Arabidopsis thaliana: one gene and its partner. The protein of the gene in region 1 interacts with the protein of each later gene in a pairwise test. Each region holds a gene or a part of one and is shown on either strand. Other genes may lie near its edges. The genes, in order: AT-HSFB2B and EMB1135.

Region 1 (12,596 bases):
GAATTGATGACAACGAAGGAAAAATATCGTATCATCTTTAGTTTGAGTAAAAGGAAATAAAGTAACATATTTCTTAAAATTCGTTAGCGAGTAAAACGTTCCACACAAAAGCATAACTTCCACTGTTATATCGTTCTTTGTTATTACTGATAATGTATGATTTGATGGATTTGTATAACGTTTGTATCTTATGTTTTAAAGTAATCAATATATGTTAGAAACGAAAGTTACTTATTCAAAAAATTAAATTTATTCTTTTCACCTTTGACAATGAAGTCTTAATCATAATTCCCCCTAAAACAGAAAGAATAATGTGTACAAAACAAAATACTTTTATCCATCACTGTTTTGAATAACCATAATCGTGTTTTTAACGATATTTGAAGAACTTTTTCACAAAACTTCTTGAAGTATGATATTCATACTCGATGAACATAATGGTGTATATGGATTTATGTCATACAATATTAATGTGAACATTTGATTATTTGCCATGTAAATGAAATTTCTTTTGATAAATAGTTGTTAAAAAGATTAATGGGAACAAGTTATAATACTTGATAACTTTCTTAACAATTAATATCAGGTTTACATTGGTGGTATTTCCACAAAAGTTTTCAAAGATGGTACTCGTGTAGAAGAAGTAGAACGACGACATCTATTGGCAGTAGTACATGGACGCCTATATGGATTTGCTGGTGTGCGCTTATAACATGCAGCGGTAGGAAATCTTGGATCACAACCTTTACCTAAATCTAATCTAATTGGATACTCAATATATCTTTTCGCATGAATGGTACTTATAAACACGCATAATACAATCAAAATCGTCACAAACGTAACTTCTTTTGTTTTTATCATAATTTAGATTTTGGATTAGTTATATTTGGTGGAAAGATTGGAAAATCTGTTTTTTATATATAGTGCAAAACGATAAGTTATAGTTTCACTATCTTTAAAACATATCTTTGTTTGGTTCCAGTTTAGATATTTTTATTAAATATATTTAAAAAAAAACTGAATTGGTGTTACAGTTTTAGTTTCAGTTTTTTTTCTTCAATATATACATTAATTAATTTTGAAACATTTGAAAATATTGAGATTTTAACATATCATTTTTTGTTGGTTTAATTTCAATCAGTTTTTGTTTTGTCAAAAAACAATATCGGTCTCCTAATGCTAGTATTACATCTCAAAATTTTGATATGTTTAAAAATTGCAAAATTATTTTTAATATTATAAAGTGCTATTTTATAATTATTTCTAAACTTTAACATATAAAAATTGATAGATCGGATTGAATATCTCCGATATCATGATATTTTGACGGAAATCCATGTCTGGATATAGAAAATTTACAAATTTAGGTACACTTATCGTAATATTTAATGATAGTGATTTAATTTGTGTGTATTTTCACCTCAAAATTTTATCTTAGAGACTACGCGAGAAAAAATGCAAATCCACAATTAATCTTATGTAGTATTTTAGGATCGATCCTAATAAGTTATATATACTAATAAGTTACACGACGAATTCGATAAAGAAGAACAAAACTAAGGCAAAATAAAAAGTGGTTTTTGCTTGGGGGTTTTAGCAATATATATATTACTTTAAGATATGTCTCTATGTCTGAATAGTTTGTTGGCAGTATTGATATTGAATTCAATTTGGCTGCCTCACTCCAAAAATATATTGTTCTTTCGACTATTAATCATCAGCCAAAACAACATTGTCTCGATACTGTTTCTCATGATCACTAATTCACTATGTATTATATTGATCAAGATATACAAAAATATGAACTGCTGGGTATAGTTTCAATTATCCCATGTGGACTTCATTTTGCAAGAGAAATTTAGTCAACTAGAAAGAAAAATATTAGGAATTATTAGTCATACAACCATATTATAAGATTATAACGTGGAAGAAAAACTGTATAGAGTTCTAACAAACTTTCGGTGAAACTTCATGTCATCCTTAATTCAAAAGCAACCCACTAGTCAAATCTTTAATATATCTTTCAGAAAACAAGACTTCACATATATGAATCAATCTCTTCAATTATTTTTGGAACACTCGAATATATTTGATGAAAGAGCTTAAAGATCACGTTGTAGTGATCACTTATGGACCATCATCGGAGGCTTCAGTAACGGCGTCACCTGTCTCTCAACAGACGCCGTCTTTGTTTGCATACTCCGTAACGCCGTCAGCATCAAGATTCAGCTCACGGCGAGCATCGGTTCATGTTATCGGTTTGGTTCTCCGGTTTATAACTATGGTTCTATGTTTCGTCTCTGCTCTTTCGTTGGCAGTGAATGTTCAACGGCCTTCGAAGAGACATCTGACACAAAACTCCTCGAGTTTTGCTTCATATCCTGAACTGTTGTAAGAAACTAAAGAACCTTATCTTCTTTAATTCATTGTTTAATACTAATATTTTATATAGAATATGATGTTGTTATTTCCAAGCAAATCTGGATTATCGTTGTTCACTTACTAAAATAATAAGGGATACTTGAAAAAAAAAAGTCTAAAAAATAAAATGAAAAGATTGGCTGATTTCTGTTAAATTAAAGATATATGAACCGAAAATTGTAATGGAAATGAATTAAATTGGGATTTTTGATAAATTAAATTAAAGTATTAATTATCTTTAATATGCATGGAAATGAATATTTTGATAGTTTATATATGAACCGAAAATATTGTGTAGGCGTGTTAAAAATAAATATCCATTAACAAAATCATCCAAAAATTTTCAACATTTTTTTCTCTCTATGCTAATTGGTACGTTAAGATATATGCAGGTATTGTTTTGGAGTTGCAGTGATAGGATTCGTGTATACAAGTTTGCAAACATTCAAAGGAGTTTGTGATATTACTCACAGAGGAGTTTTAATCTCTGAGCCTCTCTCGGATTACATCAGCTTCATATTTGACCAGGTATTTTACATTATTATTGATTAATTTCTATACGTTGAGTACATATATAATAGAATGTGTTAACAATTAACATATAAAAAAAATTGAGCTAATTTTATTTTTGTATACAAAACCTAATCAGGTTATATGTTACCTACTAGTGTCATCTTCTTCCGTGGCAATTGCATGGATCCAACATATAAACGAGGATGCGATAAAAACACTAAGAAACAATTCTATAGTTTCAGTTTCAATGTCATTCTCTGCATTTTTGGTTTTGACACTCTCTGGCCTCTTGTCAGGGTATAAGCTTTGCAAGAGATTTATGTGGTAATTAAATCTTGTAATTTTTTTATACTCAAGTCATGTTTAAATCCGTAAGAAGTAATGACTATTTATGTTTATGTGGATATATTTGTTTGTTGGAATGTAAAATTTATACAACATTTATTTGTTTTATCGCCAACGTTTTAGAATTTGAAAGAATAACCGAATTTTTTTTAGAGAAATATAAGATAACCACCACCATGTGTCAATGTTGCAGTAATCAAATGATAATTTGTACATGCATGACCATTGTACCAAACAAACTTAATCAAGTGTAAACTAGTTTTCCTCGTATAGTTTCCAAAAGTACTATCATTAACTGGTAAAAGGGTTCTTCAGATGTGACAAAAACTATTTTCTATATTAAAAGGAAGTTGCAAGTGTTTCACTTACAAAGTAGATGAAGTGTCATTAAAATAGTGATGGGTCAATGAATGAATTAAGGTCTTATTATCATATTTATCATATTTGGTCATAAGAATGAAGAATTTTAAAACCTAGTTAAAATTCTTAAGCATTTTGATGCGTTTTTATCGGAGGTGACCAGACCAACCAATAAAGTTTATCAAAATAAAAAAAATAATGAAAACATGCATATTTTAATTATGTTCGTATTCACTTTTTTTTATTTTTGGTATTCACTTTCATTGTATTTATAAAGCAGATTCTAAAACTGAACTTAGAGAAGAGAAAGTTGTTGTAATACAATCTTGTAGTGACAAGAGAAATTTGGGTGTTTCTTTCTGCAATGTATAATGATATGTTTGACGATAAAACATTATACCGCCCGGAAATTCTGTAATCGCAATAGTAAAACTGGATTTCTTCCCCTCCCACCTGGAAATGATGTATATCCTAACTACTATAACTGGATTTAATTTTCCAGAAAACGATTATATAAATGGATTTATATAAATTATTTTTGATAATTTAAATGCTCACATAAAAATAATATATTTTTTTTGTCATTTCTTGCAAATAGTTTAAGACATTTAGATTTTTTTTTTTTAAAGATTACCGAAAGTTATACATGTTAAGTATACAATTCAAATTCATGACTTTCGACTATGAAAATACATCATAAATCGATTGTTTTACGTTTTCTGGATTTTTTTTTGGGTTTCTTGGCAAAGTAGACACTTTTTCATAAATAATTTGTAAAGTGGATAGTTTTTTTTAGAAATTAGAGAGATAGACACTTTTTTGTTTTTTGTGAGATAGAGGATATGTCTAATAGATTAAAAAAACAAAATACATATCAAATACTAAAATACCCTTTATCTTGAGAGCTAATAAAAATAATATGAGAGACCATTTGTACTTTATTTTGTTTGTCTTTATTTTTTTTATTTTTTTATTTTAGTTTTCTTAAAATATTTTTTTAAATAATAAATTCTTTTTAAAAAACATTACATTAACTTTTAGAGTAATTATATGTCATCAATCCAATGCACAAACATTTCAAACATAGTTTTGTACACTAACCATTATTCGTTGGTGTACAAATGTGTATACTGATATTTCATAAATCATTAAGTACACCGACTTCTCTTATAAACATAATGATTGTATAAACCTTATATGATTACTCAATATAATAGTGTACATGATGGTGTACATAATTAAAGTATTTTTGATGATGTACAAAATGATTGAAACTATTATGACGATTGATGGATAGAATGATGTATACAACTTTTAAATGATAGCATACAAGATTATTAGACAAAGTGTACAAAACTTGGTGTACACTTCTAGGAAATGTATAAATCATTATTTCAATTAGTGGTGTATATCTCGTACACCAATGTTAGTACACTGTCTCATAGATCTTTAAAGCTGTACGATCATGTACACCATATTTTCCATCATCTCTTTACACTATTTTGTACACAATTATACTGAGTCTATCACTTCTCAGTATTATATGTTAATTTTTACATTATTGTCGTACACTAACATTTGTACACCAGTTTTAACAATATCACATACACCGTCGGCTGGGATTAAATAAAAAAGTGTTACATATTTTTGAAATATAGCAAAATTAGACTTTTTAGATTCACATAAAAATTTTAAAAGTTAATATGATTATGTGGTAATTTTTTATGAAAAATTATTATCAAACAAAGTAAAAATATTTAAATAAAAAAAAAAAGAGAAAAAGTAGAATTTGATTTGAGTTTTGTCTATATTTTACTACCTAACAAATAACAAAAGGTTATATAAGTATTTTTACTAAAATTTTTATTAGACAAAAAATTGTATTAGAAAGGAAAAAAAAAATTATCTATTTCTTCTTTTTCTAAAAAAACTACATATTTTGCAATTTATTTATATAAAAAGAATACATTTTCCAACTTATCTCTTTTTTTTAAAAAGTTTTTTTATCATAAAAACTTTATATTTAAAATCTGGATAATGACACTATTACTACAATTTTGCTAAGATATTTGTTTCCTTTTTACGATGATTACAATTAGACTATAATATTGGATAAACGAATCTCAAATATTGAATTCATAATTAATGTTGAACATAAAACATAAGAAAAGTAATTAAAAAAAGAGTCAACTCAGAATAATCAATTCGAGTCTATCACTTTATTCCACTCACATTAATTACCAAAAATGTTATGAAAATCTAGATAGCGTTTCACATATTCACAGGGTCAAAAAAGGAAATAACAAAAAGAAGAAAAAAGAGAAACTTCTGGAAAAAGAAAAGGAAGCCACATACGCTCTTCTAGCGCATTCCTATACTCTTTCCTTCTTTGTGGTCCCCTTTTCACTTTTTTAAATTCCAACTTTACCCTTGTTCTTCTTCTTCGTTCTCTTTTTTTTATTTTTGTTTTTGTTGTTGTCTTCTGGAACTTCCGATCTGTCTCTCCTCTTCTCTCTCTTTCTTATCAATACGTTCCTCTCAGAACATTCTGGAACTTCACAACATAATCTCTCTCTCTCTCTATCTCTAGCTTCGTGATCATCGTGTGTCTCTGTGTTCAATCTGGATTGTGACAATCTCTTTCTTTCTTGGTTGGTGTAGATTACGTCAAGAGAGAGATAGAGAAGTTTTTGGATTTGGTTCTAATGGGTCTGTGATAGACGTTTCCTTTCTCTTCTCTGTCTAGTTTCTGTTTTGAGATCTCTATGTTTCCAACTTTCTTCAAAGCTCATTCCCATTGGTAGATTTCATCATTATCTTAATTTGGGTATTGGGATTAAGGAAAGTTTAGATTTTTGATCTATAACTCATGCCGGGGGAACAAACCGGAGAAACTCCGACGGTGGCCGGAGTTGGCGGCGGTGGAGCTGGTTGTAGCGCCGGGAATAGTGGTGGAAGTAGTGGATGTGGTGCTGGTGGTGGCGGTGGTGGTAGTGGTGGAGGTGGTGGCGGAGGAGGAGATTCACAGAGGTCAATTCCGACGCCGTTTTTGACGAAAACGTATCAGCTTGTGGAAGATCCGGTTTACGACGAATTGATCTCGTGGAACGAAGATGGAACCACTTTTATTGTGTGGCGACCAGCTGAATTCGCTAGAGATCTTCTTCCCAAATACTTCAAACATAATAACTTCTCGAGTTTTGTTCGTCAGCTCAATACTTACGTGAGTCTCAATATACGTTTGAATCGAAATTTTCAGTTATTAGGTTTTTTAGTAGTGAGCTCTTATTTTGGTTTATTATTGGTTTTAGGGATTTCGAAAAGTAGTTCCAGATCGTTGGGAGTTTTCTAATGATTGTTTTAAGAGAGGTGAGAAGATTCTGCTTCGGGATATTCAACGGCGGAAAATCTCTCAGCCTGCTATGGCCGCGGCTGCTGCAGCGGCGGCGGCAGCCGTAGCGGCTTCGGCTGTTACAGTAGCAGCTGTTCCTGTTGTAGCTCATATTGTTTCTCCATCGAACTCTGGAGAAGAACAGGTTATATCGTCTAATTCTTCGCCTGCGGCTGCTGCTGCTGCTATAGGAGGAGTGGTTGGTGGTGGTTCTTTGCAGAGGACAACGAGCTGCACCACTGCACCAGAGCTGGTTGAGGAGAATGAGCGATTGAGGAAAGATAATGAGCGATTGAGGAAAGAGATGACAAAGCTTAAAGGATTGTATGCGAATATCTACACATTAATGGCGAATTTCACACCGGGTCAAGAAGATTGTGCGCATTTGTTACCTGAAGGGAAACCTTTAGATCTTTTACCGGAGAGACAAGAGATGAGTGAAGCCATTATGGCTTCTGAAATAGAGACAGGGATTGGTCTGAAACTTGGTGAGGATTTGACTCCAAGGTTGTTTGGGGTTTCTATTGGGGTCAAGCGAGCTAGAAGAGAAGAAGAATTGGGTGCTGCAGAGGAAGAAGATGATGATAGACGAGAAGCTGCTGCCCAAGAGGGAGAACAAAGTTCTGATGTTAAGGCAGAGCCAATGGAGGAGAATAACTCCGGTAACCATAATGGGTCGTGGCTTGAACTCGGAAAATGAAAAACACTTGCCGATTCAGAGGCATTGTTGAATATGCAAGAAACTGTTACTGATCCCCATTGCATAGGCAAGCCATTGCGCTGTCCCGGACGGAAAATGGGGATGTGTTCGGTCATAAGAGGACAGATGTTCATTGAGTTGGGGTAGTACAAAAGTATCTAAAAACACTGATTCTACCATCCTGAGTTGTTCCTGATTTCAGATGTTGCCTCCTGAATCTTCTTCTTGATGGAACTGAAACTATTCTGGCTTGCTGTGCTCCAGTGAGTGGATGTGCTTCTCACGATTTCGGATAAAGCAGGCAGATTCAATGTTACATCTTCATATTCTGCAACAAATAGCAGGAATCAATGGTTTTTAAGAGTTATGGCAATGTTGATACAGAATCATTTCTTTTGAGTTCAAAACAATTGTAGCTCTCTGACTTGTAATGATCTTAATGAAATTTATCTCTCTTATTTAAAGATGGTCCAAGTTCTCTAGTGGTCGTGTGTGTGTTTTTACCTGTTGACATAGGAAGCTCGTACTGGCGCTTTAAGAATTTGGAGGCGTTACGATCTTTCTTGTGGCAAAGAACTCTAACAAGAGTTTGTGCATCCTCCAAGCGCCGCTGCTCTGAACTCACCCCCATGTTGATGAGCTCGCTCGCAGTCATTAGCATCTGAATTAGCATATCGCTCTGCCACAACGGACATAATCCGTAACACTTTGGTATCTCATAATTTCTAAGAAAGGAACTAAGTTTGCAATTTGCAAGTGAGCAAAATATATTTACCTCGAGAGAGTACAAGTCGAGGATCTCTTTCGCCTGTTTCGCTTCTTGCTCAACTAGTGAACGAGGAAGTCCCTCCCCATCGGCAATGAAGAACTCCTACAAGGGGACACACGCCGTAGGTTAAGTACACAGATTGGAACTGCCTAATCCACGGATCAAGACCCGGTTCTCATATGCAAAATGGCCGAACCTCAAAATCAAAGTAGAAAATCTAGTTTCTAGTATTTTTTAATATTGTCTTTATCTGAAACTAATTGGATGCAGGGAGTATACAAGATGATAGAGCTCGAAAACTTTGGTTTCCAGTAGAATAAGTACGGAATTTCAAAATAAGAATATAAGTTGCTTACTTTCAAAATACTGAGATCTTCTTCCATCAAGGTGATGTCAGAATCCGAAAAGGCACGGGTTGGCCCTCCATCAAGTAGTACTCGAACATAGGCTTCCTATGGGAGAGAAGCATGCCATTTTTGTGGGCATAAAAGAGGTTAGAGTTAGTTAACTTGTTTCCATATGCAAAAGAGAAAAGAAGTGTTACCAGAGCGGATCGGCAGATGCTTAACACCACCATATCCCGTGAGTCCTCATAACTCAAACTGCATACAGTATCAAGGACCTGTGCATTGCATTTCCTAGTGTAAGTTCATGCTTAGTAGAACGGGGTGAATAAAAGAAAGAGATGATTTTGGTTTACTGAATCAATGTGAGGGAGTATTCTTTCCAAGCGGGCGCCTTCGACTGTGCCATTGTACAACTGTATAAGGAACATGTCTCTCAGATCCCAGAAAATCGCTCTTGCCCCTGACAAAAAGCAACAATAAATACAGAAACCAGAGCTAAACCGACTTCTTTGTCGTTGATAACACAAAAGTCTTAAAGAGTAACACAATCCATCCAACATTCTCACTCATCCATGAGGATCAACCAATAAAAGAGGAATGCGTACTTTTGCCAAAGAACTGAAACATGATTAATATGTATGGCTTATTCACGAGTATCTCAGATAACGACAGAAAATTTGATAATGCATCTTATGTAAGTCTTCAAATAGTATTAAAATGCTAAAGCCATCTAGTTTGTGGATAAGAAGATTGTGCATTCAGAAAGTTTGAATCTTGACACTTATCAAGGTTGCAGGGAACTGGTTCAAGTTTGGACAGAGTTTTCAGCTTTTCTCAAATTTAAAGTGCTGCATAACACGAGAATTTGTATTAGCTTACCAATTAGGTCACGGGTTTTGGTTATGCAATTGGCATTGGTGTCCCTGAGGCTGTCATAGGTGGTAGCAAAGAGTTCATCAACAGCTTCACTATGCGTCAGTGAATTCTCCACTTCAGCTTCATCAGTCTCGATTTCTGAAGCAAAAAAATCATGCAAAATGAATCCGCCAATGCACATTTCAACACTAGACAACCATCAAAATTAAGAGAAAAACGTATAATCCAAAGTGAATGAGCGTACCTGATCTCTTGTTGAGAGAGGCTTCAACAAGTGTCAAAGATTTCCTTATGCCTACTTCTGTTGCACTGATTTGTTTCTGGATATACTGATCCATGAACACAAAAATACATTAAAAATAAAGAAGCTATTGTTTAGTTTTAATAGGAATTTATGAAGGTTTAGCTTGGAAGAACACACTTACACAGAGTGTATTCAATATTATGCAGAGTTTTGGTATCGTCAGTTCATCCAGTTTCTTAACTATTTTATTATCTGGCTCACTAAACTCGAGTGACTTCCTCTTCATTACTGGCATTACATTTTCTGTGAATCGAGTTAAAGGAGGAGCTGACGGATACAGAAACTTCTTGTCAACTGCAGATAGAGGCTAATTGTCAATATATCACAGTATGCTTCTGAAAAGTTGCTTAATTTAACACATGTATTCAAAATGTTTTCGTATCGCCTTTGGATTTGGACAAGAGATTCTATATACACTAATACTATAATCTTAATCTCACGGAAGTCCCATACAAAGAAACACAACAATAAATCATGCATGTTGCATGTAATCTACCAGACACATATAAGCCTGCTCAAGCATGTGTCTCTAGATATTGACATAAGAGAAAATAATTTTATATAGCATGTTCCATGGTTATGCAAGAACTTGACTCTGTAACAACTGTTAGAAAGATGTAGGGTTGGTCAATACCTAGTTGATCGAAAACTCTCTGAAGATAAGTATCCAAGCTATGGTAAATTAATGAGAGAAGAGCTTGGAGATGTGTGATATCAACAGGTAGATGTAAACCAAACAGCTGAGACACAGTCTGCAGAGTACGTGAAATGAGATAGTAAGACGGCAAATATATTGTGTGCAGCACTAAAAAGTAAAGGTAGGACGAATCATACTAGAAGTAAAGCAAGAACGTAAACAAAAACAACAAGTAAATCAAGAGGTAACACAAAGCAAAGAAAATTGTTTTAGCATACTGAACTCCCACAGTTTGCACACTATTCAGAATAATCATGTCATGAAAGTATGTAGGTCTACATACCTCTTCTATGATCCTGAATATTTCAACGATTGATGCAGCATGTCTTTGTTGAACTGATAGAGGCTCCCACTCCTGTTCATGGAAAAGCTTTACGATTAAAAAAAAAAATTCCATCTTTTGGACATTCATACTTTGGATTTGATTGATTATGGAAAGTGATGGAAGGTCTGTATATGTTAAATATTTCTGACTTCACGGATCCTTCATTTCATTCAGTCTATATTATCACTTCAAACTATATATGATGCAACTTTTGTTTGCTTCAAACATTTTCTCAATACAGTGATCCATCAAAATAGTTTCCCTTATGGCCAAACTTTAATGTCTATCTACTGTCGACAGAAATCAACATGTGAATGTTTTGCCAAGAATATATAACCTCGATTTCAAAAGCTCGCCTAGTCCATTGTAAGATATGATCATGTTGAGAGATAAGCCAGTCCAGCATTACTGGTTTGACAGCCTTTTCTATCTGCACATAAACCGATGGATAGTCTCTTTTATGACTTATTGACATGTTAAATTGAGTTAGCAAACCAGAAAACTGAGAAGTGATATAATTTTGTTCTGAAATCCAATCTATATAAGAAATCTTGTCAGTGACCTCGTAATTCTTCAACTTATGGAAGTAAGGTTTGCGCAACTTAGATTTGCTATGGCAATTATACAGTTGAGTTAACTCTTCCTGTAACATATAAGCAGCAGGGACTACTTTTCTAACATCACCAGAGAGGGATGAAACTCCTTCGAGGAAAGGTGTCTGCTCCAGTAGAACAAGAACAATTATAAATATAGATACAAGTGACAACCTTTTTTCTTAAGTATTGTAAAATGCTTAGGGACAAACCAGTCTTTCTCCATAAAACCGATGTAGCAGCATGGCCGAGATCATCATACATTCGGGTAACCATTTGGAGAAAACTGGGACAAACTCGTTGATCTCTACTTTTGCGATGACGGTTAGTTCATTTGCAAGCAGAGCTAGAGCATGCGTACGCTCACCATGAGATTTCACGTAAGCAAAATGCGCAGCCTAGGAGGATAAAATATCGAATTAAAGTATATCTTTACATCATAAGATAGAACGATAAAAGAAGTGGCTTATACAGTATAGAAAATTAGAAATACAAGTAACCAATACAAACTGACCCTGGCACATGCACCTTTGATAGAGTTCTGAACATAGGATTGTATCTTATCACTAACATCATCACTCAAGGTATCCAGCTTGATAAGCTGCTAAAGAAAAACGATATATATCAACAAAGATCACCCAAGTATTCCTCCACATCACAAGCTGCAGTTCCTTTCTTTATATCCAACTAGGAACTTTTCTATCAACAGCCAAACACTTTATACATAAAACATAGTCATGCCACGCCAGAAAATTGTCTAACCCTAGCTAGTTAGTTGTACTGCCGAAGAGCACATTAAAGTTATACAAATGTCAGCATGAAAATTAAAAAGCTAGTTTGAAACTGCTAGTTTTGGGATAAGCGTTTTTGCAAGAATGTTAACTTCAACTCAATATATATAAGTCAAATATTAAGACATAAATAGCAGAAGGCAAAGGAAAACACCAACCTCAGT
Region 2 (12,720 bases), on another chromosome or scaffold:
TTAGAAAATGTAATATCAAACAAAATTGGGGAATCGAAATTGGTTAAATTAACAGAATTTGCACTGGTCTGATTATTTATACTCTGATTATTAATATAACACAGAAAAGCATTACTCTTTTTCTTACACGCGTTTATGTTTTCAAAAAGAAATATTTATCCGATTACAACAATTATATGGAGTCATAACACTGTAAACAATTTGTACACCACATTTTTAGAAAATAAAAATTTAACTTGATTACAACGTGGAAAAGTCAACACTTTCCGAGCTTTCCTTTTATAAAAGGAGGACGGAAGACTCGCCGTCTCAAATGCTTCCACAAAACAAAACAAAACAAACAAGAAATCCCAACAAACAAACAAACAAAAAAAGAGAGAAAAAGAAAAAAGAGAGGTGAAAACTCGTGCAACATGGCAGAACCAACTCAGCCGCTTCTGACCGATTCCAACTCGTCATCACCGAGATCTCTCGACGACACAATCGAGAGTTACATTGGAAGCTTTGGGTGGGCTCAGTTTCTTCAAGCGGCTTTAGTCTCATTCTCCGGTGTTTTCGACGCTCAACAAACTTTCATCTCTGTGTTTACAGACTCCGAACCCACGTGGCACTGCACCGACTCGAACTCGATCTGCCATGAATCCATCTCCAACATCTGTATCCTCCCCAAAACCGCATGGTCTTGGGATTACTCTCCTCACGTCTCTGTTATATCCGAATGGGGTCTCCAATGCGCCGGCTCTTTCGTCAAGGGCTTACCGGAGAGTTCTTTCTTCGTCGGATGTTTAATCGGAGGTTTGGTTCTCTCAACACTTGCTGATTCTTCCTTGGGTCGTAAAAACATGTTGTTTCTGTCCTGTCTCGTTATGGCGATATCAACGATGCTAACGGTTTTCTCACCAAACATTTGGGTTTACGCTGTTCTTCGATTCGTTAATGGATTTGGTCGAGCGACGATAGGGACATGTGCGCTCGTTCTTTCGACGGAATTAGTTGGGAAGAAATGGCGAGGACGAGTAGGGATAATGAGTTTCTTCGGATTCATGCTTGGCTTTTTGTCTCTTCCTTTGATGGCTTACATGAACAGAGGAAGTTCTTGGAGGATTCTCTACGCATGGACTTCGATTCCAACGATAATATACTGCGTTCTTGTTCGGTTTTTCGTTTGTGAGTCTCCAAGGTGGCTTTTCGTTAGAGGCCGTAGAGAAGAAGCTATTTCGATTCTCAAAAGGGTTGCTTCGATTCCGTCTACTGATGTAAGCAGTGGTGGTGCAATATCTATGAGTTTTTCGAGCTTACCTTTTGAAGAAGATGAAGAGAAGCCTAGTACTAATGTTAACATCTTCACGACCATGAAGGTGTTGGTAGAGAAAAGATGGGCGCTTAAGAGATTATCCGCGGTAATGGCCATTGCGTTCGGGATTGGTTTGGTCTATTACGGGATGCCTTTAGCGTTATCGAATCTTGATTTCAACATCTATTTAAGTGCAGCGTTTAATGCGTTGATGGATTTACCAGCGAACCTCATCACGCTTTTCCTAGTCGATAAACTCAGTAGGAGAAACGCGCTTATCGGATTTACGGCTTTAGGTGGAGTCTCTAGCGTTCTCATATTTGCGTTACATAATATGAGAATTGGAAACCACGGGGCGTTACAGTTGGCGTTAGAGCTAATCTCTTACTTTAGCGCGTGTTCGGCTTTTAACATGGAGATGATATACACGATCGAGCTGTTTCCGACATGTGTGAGAAACTCGGCTATCGCAATGGCTAGACAGGCTTTGGTGCTTGGTGGAGTTTTCAGCCCTATTATGGTAGCAGCTGGTCGGAAAAACGCGTTCTGGTCGTTCGGATTGTTTGGTCTTGCTATAGGTTTGTTGGGATTGTTTGCAGTTGGATTGCCAGAGACTAGAGGGAGTGATCTATGTGACACTATGGACGAGGAAGAGTGCAAAGACCGGCGGAGTAAAGTCGCCGTTAATAATGTCATTGCATGAAATGGTGAAGAATTTGAAAACACATGTGAAATTAATGTAGATTTAATTTAGTATTTATCACTTGATTACATTAAGACTTACCACATATCTTTTTTTTTGGTTAGTTGAAAAGTGTTTCTAAGAATGAGCCATCAAAGCACCACTCTGATGAAACAATCTCATTTTACAGTTTACACCTATAACACATGGATTTCTTGAATAACAAAATAATTCAAATTTGTCTCGTTTGGATATTGATGCCGATGGTTAAACGTTTGGCTGTTTGATTTTTGTTAGAGATAATTGTGTTTCTGTTCTAATTTTCACACGTTGTGTGAAAATGAATCGTTCCAATCCCAAGAAAGTATATTCATTGGGGTTGTTGGTAGTTGGCTGTTTGGTAATTGAATGGGAAGAACAAACCAGACAGAAATTTGTACACTTCTTGGTAGATATGTTTAAAAGGTTTAATTTACAAATAGGCCCATCTATCAGCCCTTTTGTAACCCTTTTAGGCCCAACTAAGTGGTCTCAAAGTTCACAAACCCAAAACTTATGTGGATTTATTATTTTAAGCCCACACAAACTAACGAACGGTGAGCTGGCAAGTCACGTGATGACACGTGATCCATCAACCCATCACTTACCATTACCCCAACCGGTACGGAAGTGGTTTTGTATCTTCCTACTTCGACTCCTCTTGGGTAATTATAATTAGTTTTAGATGAACCAAACAATCCCAAAATAATATTAGAAAAAGGGAAGAAAATCTGAAACCAAAAAAAACGAGAAGGGAGTCGAAGAAGAACCTTTCGCGCTCTGACGAAATTCATTACTTACACTGGATTTATACTTTTTTTGTCTTCCTCTCTCAATTATCTCCTTCAACGCCACAAGATCCTAAGGCCTCTCACGGATCTCTCTTAAGATCAATCGCCGCGGCTCATGACGCAGTCGCCTGTTCAACCGCCTCCGCCGCTCCCAGCTCAGCCGCATTCCGCCGCCGGAGGTGTAATAAGAGGCGATGTACAGGTTAGGTGCGCAGGCTGTCGCGTGATTCTGAGGGTGAAAACCGGCGTTGTGGAGTTCTCGTGTCCGACTTGTCAACTTCCCCAAATGTTGCCGCCGGAGCTTCTTTCTAGGGCACGGCCGCAGTTTCCGCAGTCTCCACAACAACCACCACAGCCAATTCAGACGCTTCCGCCACCGATTCAACAGCAGCTTAAGCCTCTTAATCTACCTAGGCCTCCGGTTCCGGCACATGGAATCGATCCGACGAAGATGCAATTGCCTTGCGCTAACTGTCAGGCTATCCTCAATGTGCCTCATGGACTCACTCGGTTCTCGTGTCCTCAGTGCCATGTCGAGCTCGCTGTTGATGTCTCCAAGCTTAATCGGTCTTTAACTGCTTCTCAATCTCATTCTAATCCTCCTACTCCTGCTGCTCCCACAGTCCCGCCTCCGCCTCCTCCCGAAGAAGTCAATGAGGAAGCTATTGAAGTGGAGAGAGAAGAAGATGAAGGTGGAACGGCTGGAGAAACGTTTATGGATTATGTGAGTGCCTCATCTTGAGATCATCTTTTTCTGTCTGTTCAATGTTTTTGATGATACTAATTTGTTTCTTTGTGAAGCGTCCCCCAAAACTTTCGATCGGACCTCCTCATCCTGATCCAATTGTGGAAACATCATCTCTATCTGCAGTGCAACCCCCAGAGCCTACTTATGATCTCAAAATCAAGGAAGAGCTTGAAAGGTCAAAGGCTTTATCGTGTTTGCAGATTGAGACATTAGTTTACGCTTGCCAGGTTGCTTTTAAATGGCAAAAAGTTTGGTTAATGGCATTTAAACGTATCTTCTACCTGTATGACAATGGTTTTTTTTTTATTACAGAGGCATCTCCAGCACCTTGCTGATGGTACCAGAGCAGGCTTTTTTGTTGGAGATGGTGCTGGTGTGGGCAAAGGGCGAACAATTGCCGGGTTGATTTGGGAAAATTGGAAACATGGAAGGAGGAAAGCTTTGTAAGTCTTGTAGAAAGATACTTCTGCGCCATTTACATCCTTGATAAGATATTGTTAGCTCAATTCAATCTGACTTATGATTATACTACATTTGCATAATTGTGTCTACGGTGTCCTTTTTTGGTTTCTTAGATAACTTAAAGTAGGATGAGTTCTAATACTATTTGCTCCTTTTCCTTTATGATTTACATAGGTGGATTTCTATTGGCTCAGACTTGAAATATGATGCAAGAAGGGACTTGGATGATGTGGGTGCTACATGCGTTGGAGGTATTATCTTGATTTTGGCTGTAAATTAAGTTTGTAATTCGCTTATTTTCTTGGGTCACAAATGCTTCATATGTTATACATAATTACATATAGCTTATGCTATAAATTATTTTCTGGCTCATTGTTGAATAGAAAATTTTGAAAGTGGATGGTATAGAGTAGACTGGATCAGAATGAGATTCTGACTTTGCTGAATGGATAAATTGACTCATGCTTTAATATTACGATGTAGAGTACACATGTATTTTTAGAGAACTTATTTTCTTTACTGATAAAGGTAATGGGTCCCTGAACTTTGTTTATGGTGTCTTCATGCCTAGAGAATGTTATGGGTAGCTGATGTTTGTGCAGTTCATGAAAATTTCAGGTAAATAAAAGTTGGACTGTAACTTTAGAATAGTCCAATAGGATATTTGATTCTTAGTCTCATTAATCCTTTATAGGTTTGAGCTTGGAATTTTAATAGAATATTAGGAGATGGAAAAATACGACAAATCAAGGGAACCATGTCGATGGATAAGTTCATTCAAGTGAACAAATGTCCAGTTTGTTTTTTCTGCAACTAAATAACAATATGTTTGACGTGCAGTGAATCCTTTGAACAAGCTACCCTATTCTAAGCTTGACTCGAAAAATGTTGGTATTAAAGAAGGAGTGGTATTCTTGACATACAATAGCCTCATTGCTTCCTCTGAGAAGGGCCGTTCTCGTTTACAGCAGCTTGTTCAATGGTGTGGACCAGAATTTGATGGTCTCTTGATCTTTGATGAGGTAACAGTTCTATGAATGAAGTATATTAAATTATTTGCGTTAAAATCATCATCCCCCTTTTTTTGTGAATTGAACAATTTGAGTATACCCTGTCGTTGTAAGTTGCTTGATCACTGGTTTTATCAATTTTGGGCCAACCTCTAATCTTTAGTACATTGTGCAGGTACTAATTTGTTTTCCTTTTTTATAGTGCCATAAAGCGAAAAATTTGGTACCTGAAGCTGGGAGTCAGCCGACACGCATCGGACAGGCAGTTGTTGACATTCAGGTCTGGCTACTTGAAACTGAATGTTCTTATCAGTGTTGCTTTTAATATTGCTCTTGGCTCTGAAGAGTGAGAGATTATATACTTCGACTTGTCTTTTTGGGTTGTACTTTTTCTCGGTTTCAGATAATATAGTGTATATTCTAGTTTAACATGCTTAATTTGTGGTTAGTGCCATCTAGTTGACTCTAACTAATGAATTCTGGAAAAGCAGGATAAGATCCCCCAAGCACGTGTTATTTATTGCTCGGCTACTGGGGCATCAGAACCACGAAACATGGGTTATATGGTCAGGCTTGGTCTTTGGGGAGCTGGAACAAGTTTTAGTGATTTTAACAAATTCCTAGGTTGGTTTTCTTTTCTACTCCTGTTGATTAATTGATTTTTTTTTTTTTGTGTGTGTGTGTAACATTTGGATTAGTACGTTCTATCTTATAGTTCGATAAACATGAATTCATTTAAGTGTCAGGTTTTAGCTTCTGTCTAGAGCATATACAAAATATTTCATTAAATGAAGTTTGACCGCATTCACTGAATTCTAATAATTACTTCGCTTCTCTTACTCTACCTTATGCATTGCATAACTTGGAATGGAACTTTAACACAACTTTGTGCAGGTGCCCTTGATAAAGGTGGGACAGGAGCGTTGGAATTGGTTGCCATGGATATGAAAGCGAGGTTTTACAAGCCGTGTCATACTATTTAGCCATTTGCATTGCTCATAATTCATTCTAACACCCCTTCTATGTAATAGGGGGATGTATGTATGCCGAACCCTGAGTTACAAAGGGGCTGAGTTTGAGATTGTTGAAGCTCGTTTAGAAGCAGGAATGGAGGTAAATCATCTTCTATCTAATATTATGTTGCTTGATTGCTTCTCATATCTTAATTGACTATCTAGCTCTATATAAATGTCGTGTAAGCTCAACAAAGTAGTATATATGAAGAGTAGGGGGTCTCTGAGGTAGCTTGAACCAAGTTCTTACATTAATTTCTGTCTGCTTTATTGGGATTAGATAATTTTCAATGGTGCTTTGATATTTTTTGGCAAGCAAGCTCATTATTTCGAGTGTTCCCCTGTTTATAGTTTAGAGATCCCTGTCGAAAAATTAAAATCAGGACTTTTGTGCTGTATTACTCGCTTTCTTCTGTAGGCAATGTACAATAAGTCTGCAGAATTTTGGGCAGAGCTACGGATAGAGTTGTTGTCAGCAAGTGCTTTTCTCCCTAACGAGAAACCAAATTCTAGTCAGTTGTGGAGATTATACTGGTCAAGCCACCAGGTATAATCTTACCACAGGCAAAAGTTAGACAATGTTATTACTGTTGCTGATTGGTCAATCTATTTCATGTCTGTTACTGCAGCGTTTCTTTAGACACCTGTGTATGTCAGCTAAAGTCCCTGTAACTGTGAGGTTAGCTAAGAAAGCCTTGTCAACAAACAAGTGTGTAGTTATTGGCCTTCAGAGTACTGGAGAGGCTCGAACCGAAGAGGCTGTAAATAAATATGTGTGTTTCTCTTCATACTACTTTTGGAAAAAATATTAAGTATCCTTTTTTGATTCCATCTAACTAATGTCTACGTATTGATAATCTTTTCCCCCTTTTTTCTTGGCATAGGGTCTTGAGCTTGATGATTTTGTCTCGGGACCTCGAGAGCTCTTGTTGAAATTTGTGGAAGAGAATTATCCCTTACCCGAGCAGCCTGAACCTCTGTCAGGTAACTTACTCTCTGTAAGAGGTTTTGCTTTTAAATCCCTGGTGGTTTTTATTTCATGTTCATAGTATGCCTCTTTTGAACTTTTACAGAGGATGATAGTGTTAAAGAACTTCAGAGGAAGAGGCATTCAGCTTCACCTGGTGTTTCAATTAGAGGGAGAGTAAGAAAGATGGCAAAGTGGAAACCAGATAGTGATAATGAAAGTGATTTGGAGTCTGAAGGTGGGTTTCCTAGTGAAAACATGTATTCTGGTACATACTGAACAGACACAATATTGATGCTTAGGCTGTAGTGAAAAATAATATGGGAAGTTTTGAATGTAGTTCTTTAAGCGCTGGAAAACGTATCTATTGAACTGGAAATCTACGTAGCAGCTAATAAGCTTATTAATTTATCCCCTATGTATTAGTATTACTATATATCTCCAATATTGGAAATTGCTTAAGGGATGACATTATCATGTTTTGGGACAAGTATTATCCTCAGATCTCTAGTCTTTGTATTTGCCCCATCTTGGTCTGTTTCTTCAATCATTCGAATTTTATAACCTCAAGGTCTGTACATTTCTAATCATTAGTGTTTTCAATGCAGCTGACTCTGCTGACGATTCTAATGATTCTGATGATGAGTTCCAGATATGTCAGATATGCAGTGGGGAAGATGTACTTTACTTTTAACTCTGATAGCTTGATTACCGTTGAGGGTTACGAGATTTTAATAACTTGTCTGGTGATGAAACTAGGAAAGGAAGAAGTTGCTCCATTGTTCTGAATGTGACAAGCTTTTTCATCCGGACTGTGTGGTTCCTCCAGTTATAGACTTACCATCTGAAGCGTGGATTTGCTTTTCTTGTAAGGAAAAGACAGAGGAGTACATTCAAGCAAGACGTCTTTACATTGCCGAATTGCAGAAAAGGTCTATACACTGAAATAGCAACTTGTGTCTGGTACAGAAGCAAAGTATTAGATTCTTTTTAAGAGTGGTTACCCATTTTGTTTCTTTTTAGGTATGAAGCAGCGCTTGAACGAAAATCAAAGATCATAGAGATCATCCGTTCTCTGAATCTTCCAAACAATCCTTTGGATGACATCGTCGATCAGGTAACTATCATTTACGTCTCTGTTTTTTCTCAGGTATGAAGCAGCTCATGGTTATACATGAGTCTCCTTTCTTTTTAGGGTATAACGCTAGTGGTATCTATGAATCATTTATTCAAGTTTTGGCATCTAGTATCCAAAGGCTAATTGTGTGGTTAAATTAACTTCTGAAAACTTTAGAATGTCTCTAAATTGCTGTGCTTTATATGTACTAATGCAGCTTGGAGGCCCTGAAAAAGTTGCAGAAATGACGGGCAGGCGAGGTATGCTTGTAAGAGCATCGAATGGGAAAGGTGTTACATATCAAGCAAGAAACACGTAAGCTTTCATTCTCAGTACTTTAACTTATTCAGCACTAGTAATCTGCTTTTCATCCTTGTGCTTCTTGGCTCTAGAAAGGATATTACCATGGAAATGGTCAACATGCACGAGAAGCAACTATTTATGGATGGTAAAAAGTTGGTTGCCATTATTTCTGAAGCTGGGTCAGCTGGTGTTTCGTTGCAAGCAGATAGAAGGGCAGTAAATCAGGTGTGTCGAGTTTATAAATTCTCCTACTAAATAAAATTGTCTTTTTTTTTTGCGTATTCTTATTGTTCTGTAGATCTAAGTTAATTGTCAGAGATGACCTCAGAGGACTTCACATGTCCGCTTTGGGGGTATTAGTTGATTTGGAATTTTTTATATATGTCTGCAGAAAAGAAGGGTTCACTTGACTTTAGAGCTTCCCTGGAGTGCTGATCGTGCAATTCAGCAATTTGGAAGAACTCACCGGTCAAATCAGACATCTGCACCTGAATATAGGTTGAATGACAACGCTTGTGTTTAATTTTGTATCCGTCCAATAGCAAAAGTATGCTGTTGAAGTTGATAGTTCTTTTGTTTTGGTCCTGTCAGACTACTCTTCACTAATCTCGGTGGGGAACGCCGCTTTGCCTCTATTGTTGCAAAGAGACTAGAAACACTTGGTGCTTTAACACAGGGAGACCGCAGGAAAGTCCCTTTCTTAACTATTTCTTAGTTAGTCTTTTGGCTTGTTATTGCTTAAAACCTTGCCATGTGTTTTGTCTCAAAATTTGGTGTGGTGTACTGCAGGGCTGGGCCCTCCGGGCCTTCTTTGAGTGCGTATAATTATGATAGTAACTTTGGTAAAAAATCCTTGATGGTGATGTATCGAGGCATAATGGAGCAGGTATTCCTCATAAAAGCCTGTAGTCTCTTAACTCCTTAATTTTGCTTCTTCAGTATTTAGGAACAATGATAACGGATAAAGTGTGAAATATAGTATGGCTTAATTGTCAGGAGAAACTACCTGTTCTTCCTCCTGGATGCTCGATTGATGAACCCGAAACAGTTAAAGAGTTTTTGACCAAGGCAAGGGCTGCTCTTGTTGCGGTTGGAATTGTTAGGGACAGTGTTCTGGGTATGCTTTGCTCGTAATTTCTCTTTTTCCGTACAGAATTCAAATTCTAGTTGTAGTAATCTCCTTTCTTACTTTACTTCATTAATGATACAGCCAATGGGAAAGATGTTGGAAGGTTTTCAGGACGTATTATTGATTCTGACATGCATGATGTTGGACGATTTTTGAATCGCCTCTTAGGATTGCCACCTGATATCCAGAATAGGTATTATGCGTCAATTGGAAATTTGCTCTATGTAACTTACCTTCCATTTTAAAAGCAACTTCCGTTTGTATTAATGCTTTCTATTCTTGTGCTGTACAGGCTGTTTGAATTGTTTACTAGTATATTAGACGTTCTTGTACATAATGCTCGGATAGAAGGAAGTTTTGACTCAGGAATTGTGGATATGAAAGCTAATAGTGTTGAGCTACTGAGCACTCCAAAGGTTGATGATATGTCTTACTTAATTATTGGTTCTTGGTGTATTTTTGCTACTAATATTTGAATTTTTCAGACCGTCCATGTTGATCAAATGTCTGGTGCCTCAACTATGCTCTTTACTTTTACTCTAGATCGTGGTGTAACATGGGAGGTACTTCAATATCTTTCACTCTTGGTAAACTTAGTCGTATTTCACTGCACTCAAAAGCTTGATTTGATCTGTGTTCCAGTCTGCGAGTTCAATGCTAGAGGGAAAGAGAAGGGACGGGCTTGGTTCAGCTAATGATGGCTTTTTTGAATCTAAAAGGGAATGGTTAGGAAGACGGCACTTCATATTAGCATTTGAGAGGTAAATCATTATCCTCACTACTCTTTGGATAATGTGGTCCTTTTATACAAACAAATATTAGAATACTAATAACACTATCAAAATCTCATTGCTGACTTTGTCTTGGATTTCCAGTGCCGCTTCTGGGTTGTTTAAGATTGTACGTCCTGCTGTAGGAGAGTCGATCAGGTATCTACTACACCATTGGCAGAACCTTTACATTTCGTATTTCTGACTAGAAAAAGTGGTCTTAACTATTGTTTATTTTTTCCAGGGAGATGTCTCTTTCAGAGTTGAAAACTAAATACCGAAAACTATCTTCTCTGGAGAAGGCTCGTACTGGTTGGGAGGACGAGTACGAAGTTTCATCAAAACAGGTATGCTTCCCCTATCAAAAATAAAGTTGAGAATACATAGAACCAAAGCAGAAAAATAGATTAGCACAGAATCATCGTGGCGTAATATAGTTTAAGCCTCACAAGAGATTCATAAGTCATAACCATTGATATAGCGCTGTTCATTAAATGAGTTTCCATCTGAGTACAGTGTATGCATGGACCCAAGTGTAAGCTTGGGGAGTATTGCACGGTTGGACGTAGGATACAGGAAGTAAACGTTGTGGGTGGCCTTATTCTTCCCATCTGGGGAACCATCGAGAAAGCTCTCTCCAAACAAGTAACAAAGACCATTCAAGAATTTGTGAGACTCTCTCTTAGTGTGTTGGCATGGAAACTTATATGTATTTGGATCTTTTGCAGGCCCGTCACAGCCACAAGAGAATTCGAGTTATACGCATAGAGACTACGACGGATAATCAGCGGATAGTGGGCCTCTCCATCCCAAATGCAGCTGTAGAAACTGTTTTACAAGGTATTGCGAGCTTATCTCATGATCTTGAGACATCATATGATAAATCCGACAAGGAAACAGAATGGTTATCTCGACAGTCGTTGATTTGTGTCTGTCTTTTTGTTTCTGCAGATTTAGCATGGGTTCAAGAGATTGATGATTAAGACAACGAGTATTTATAAGAAGCATACACCCTCAAAGCTCCACAATCAAGTTCCCATGCCTATTTTGTATTTTCTTTATTTAAGAAAAAGAGGAAAAAGACACTTGACTTTCATTTTTGTGTATATCACATGACAAATTGGCAAGATGATACATAGATGTAATATTATTTATCTAACAAGATTCATTCTTATGTTCCGTTAAAAAAAACTTTTTCTTATTGATGTGCAGAATACAGAGAGTTAACAAGAAAAGAAAAACAAAAAATAATTTCACAACCAACATAATAGATCTCAATAAAACAAGAAGAATTTTAGTGTTTCACAGAACACAACACACATAACTTGTAAATTACATAAATGCCATCAAACAGCAAAAAAAAAAAACAGGCTTATTTTTCCGACCAGAAACTTCAATCAACGTGTCGTACGTAGTAAAAAACATTCAATAAAACCTCTGTTTTCAACAGATGAAAGGAGCGTTGGCATAACCATCATGGCAATACAAACCTGGCTGCTGAGTAAACCCTTGCTTCTTCAATGCCTTCCTAGCCCTTGTAACCATTTCTCTGTTTGATATCTCACCGTCTGTCTCCTCCAATATCGTCTGTATCGAATTGCTCATCGCTCCATAAGCCTCAGTTGGTTTCCCCGCTGGAGTCGCATCAGCAGAGGTCTGATCGGTTTGGCAACCGCTGATCAGTATCCCGCTGTCTGGAAGCGGAACCGAACCTCTTGATCCACCAGCATAAACCTCTTCTTTACTCCCAACGTGTGTCTGCATAGCGGGTTTCACATAGTCTTCATCGTTTAGTTTACCCTCAAGAAACCCTGAAGCCAATTTGCCAAGCATTCCCATTAATCCACCTTCTTCTCCATTTCCAGCCTGAAGCTTACCTAAGATCACTTTCATAAACTTCTTCACTTTCGGGCTCGAATCATCACCAAACGCATCAAAAAGGCTTGGCCTGATTTTCCCAACTTCGATATTATCATTCCCTGTTTGCTGCTTGAGAATATCAATCAAGGTCTGCAGAGGAAGAGATTTGTCTTTGGCATGGATCGTTTCTCCGTCTTCAAGCTCAATCTCCTTAGTCTCGATTTCTTCCGCCTCATCTTCATCCTTCTTGTTCCCTCCAATGTGAAACCCTCGAGACTCGATGGCGCCTTCCACTTTGCTGCGCAAGAACTTCCTAAACCCGAATCTTGAAGAAGATTCTTCAGATTCATCTTCGTCCTCGGCTTCTTTCTTAGTGCTCTCTCCAATCTGCTCCTTGGCTTCGTCGATTAGGCCACCACTGTGACAAGAGTCTGAAATGATTGTCATTCTGCAACCTGGAGGAACCTTGTCCACAAGATCTCTAAAATCATCATCTGGAAACAACAACATTACATCAGCAAAGCTCCATGGACAA

Evidence for each region.
Region 2: the proteins of AT-HSFB2B (region 1) and EMB1135 interact in a two-hybrid assay, tested with the Arabidopsis thaliana proteins (one large-scale study listed by BioGRID).

What each region holds. Positions count from the first base shown.
Region 1 is NC_003075.7:7,036,498-7,049,093, forward strand, and holds AT-HSFB2B (winged-helix DNA-binding transcription factor family protein), read left to right. Parts: upstream 1-5,856; 5' UTR 5,857-6,508; coding exon 6,509-6,862; intron 6,863-6,950; coding exon 6,951-7,730; 3' UTR 7,731-7,903; coding exon of another isoform or gene 7,904-8,058; 3' UTR 8,059-8,211; downstream 8,212-12,596. Other genes in the region: RALFL29 (RALF-like 29), read right to left, coding at 589-861; AT4G11655 (Uncharacterized protein family (UPF0497)), read left to right, coding at 2,093-2,391, 2,814-2,949, 3,071-3,262; AT4G11670 (DNA topoisomerase 4 subunit B (DUF810)), read right to left, coding at 7,904-8,058, 8,235-8,409, 8,506-8,601, 8,856-8,951, 9,044-9,121, 9,200-9,306, 9,726-9,860, 9,967-10,051 and 7 more. UniProt on the Arabidopsis thaliana protein: Transcriptional regulator that specifically binds DNA sequence 5'-AGAAnnTTCT-3' known as heat shock promoter elements (HSE).
Region 2 is NC_003070.9:29,843,417-29,856,136, reverse strand, and holds EMB1135 (RING/FYVE/PHD zinc finger superfamily protein), read left to right. Parts: upstream 1-2,670; 5' UTR 2,671-2,921; coding exon 2,922-3,530; intron 3,531-3,607; coding exon 3,608-3,781; intron 3,782-3,866; coding exon 3,867-3,997; intron 3,998-4,190; coding exon 4,191-4,267; intron 4,268-4,856; coding exon 4,857-5,038; intron 5,039-5,228; coding exon 5,229-5,306; intron 5,307-5,517; coding exon 5,518-5,650; intron 5,651-5,920; coding exon 5,921-5,981; intron 5,982-6,057; coding exon 6,058-6,139; intron 6,140-6,457; coding exon 6,458-6,586; intron 6,587-6,668; coding exon 6,669-6,812; intron 6,813-6,923; coding exon 6,924-7,023; intron 7,024-7,112; coding exon 7,113-7,244; intron 7,245-7,614; coding exon 7,615-7,685; intron 7,686-7,765; coding exon 7,766-7,938; intron 7,939-8,029; coding exon 8,030-8,123; intron 8,124-8,340; coding exon 8,341-8,438; intron 8,439-8,515; coding exon 8,516-8,651; intron 8,652-8,817; coding exon 8,818-8,924; intron 8,925-9,017; and 25 more. Other genes in the region: OCT2 (organic cation/carnitine transporter 2), read left to right, coding at 414-1,997; MC4 (metacaspase 4), read right to left, coding at 11,769-12,679. UniProt on the Arabidopsis thaliana protein: Required for normal embryo development. Necessary to acquire heat stress (HS) memory, by modulating nucleosome occupancy and regulating heat-induced gene expression.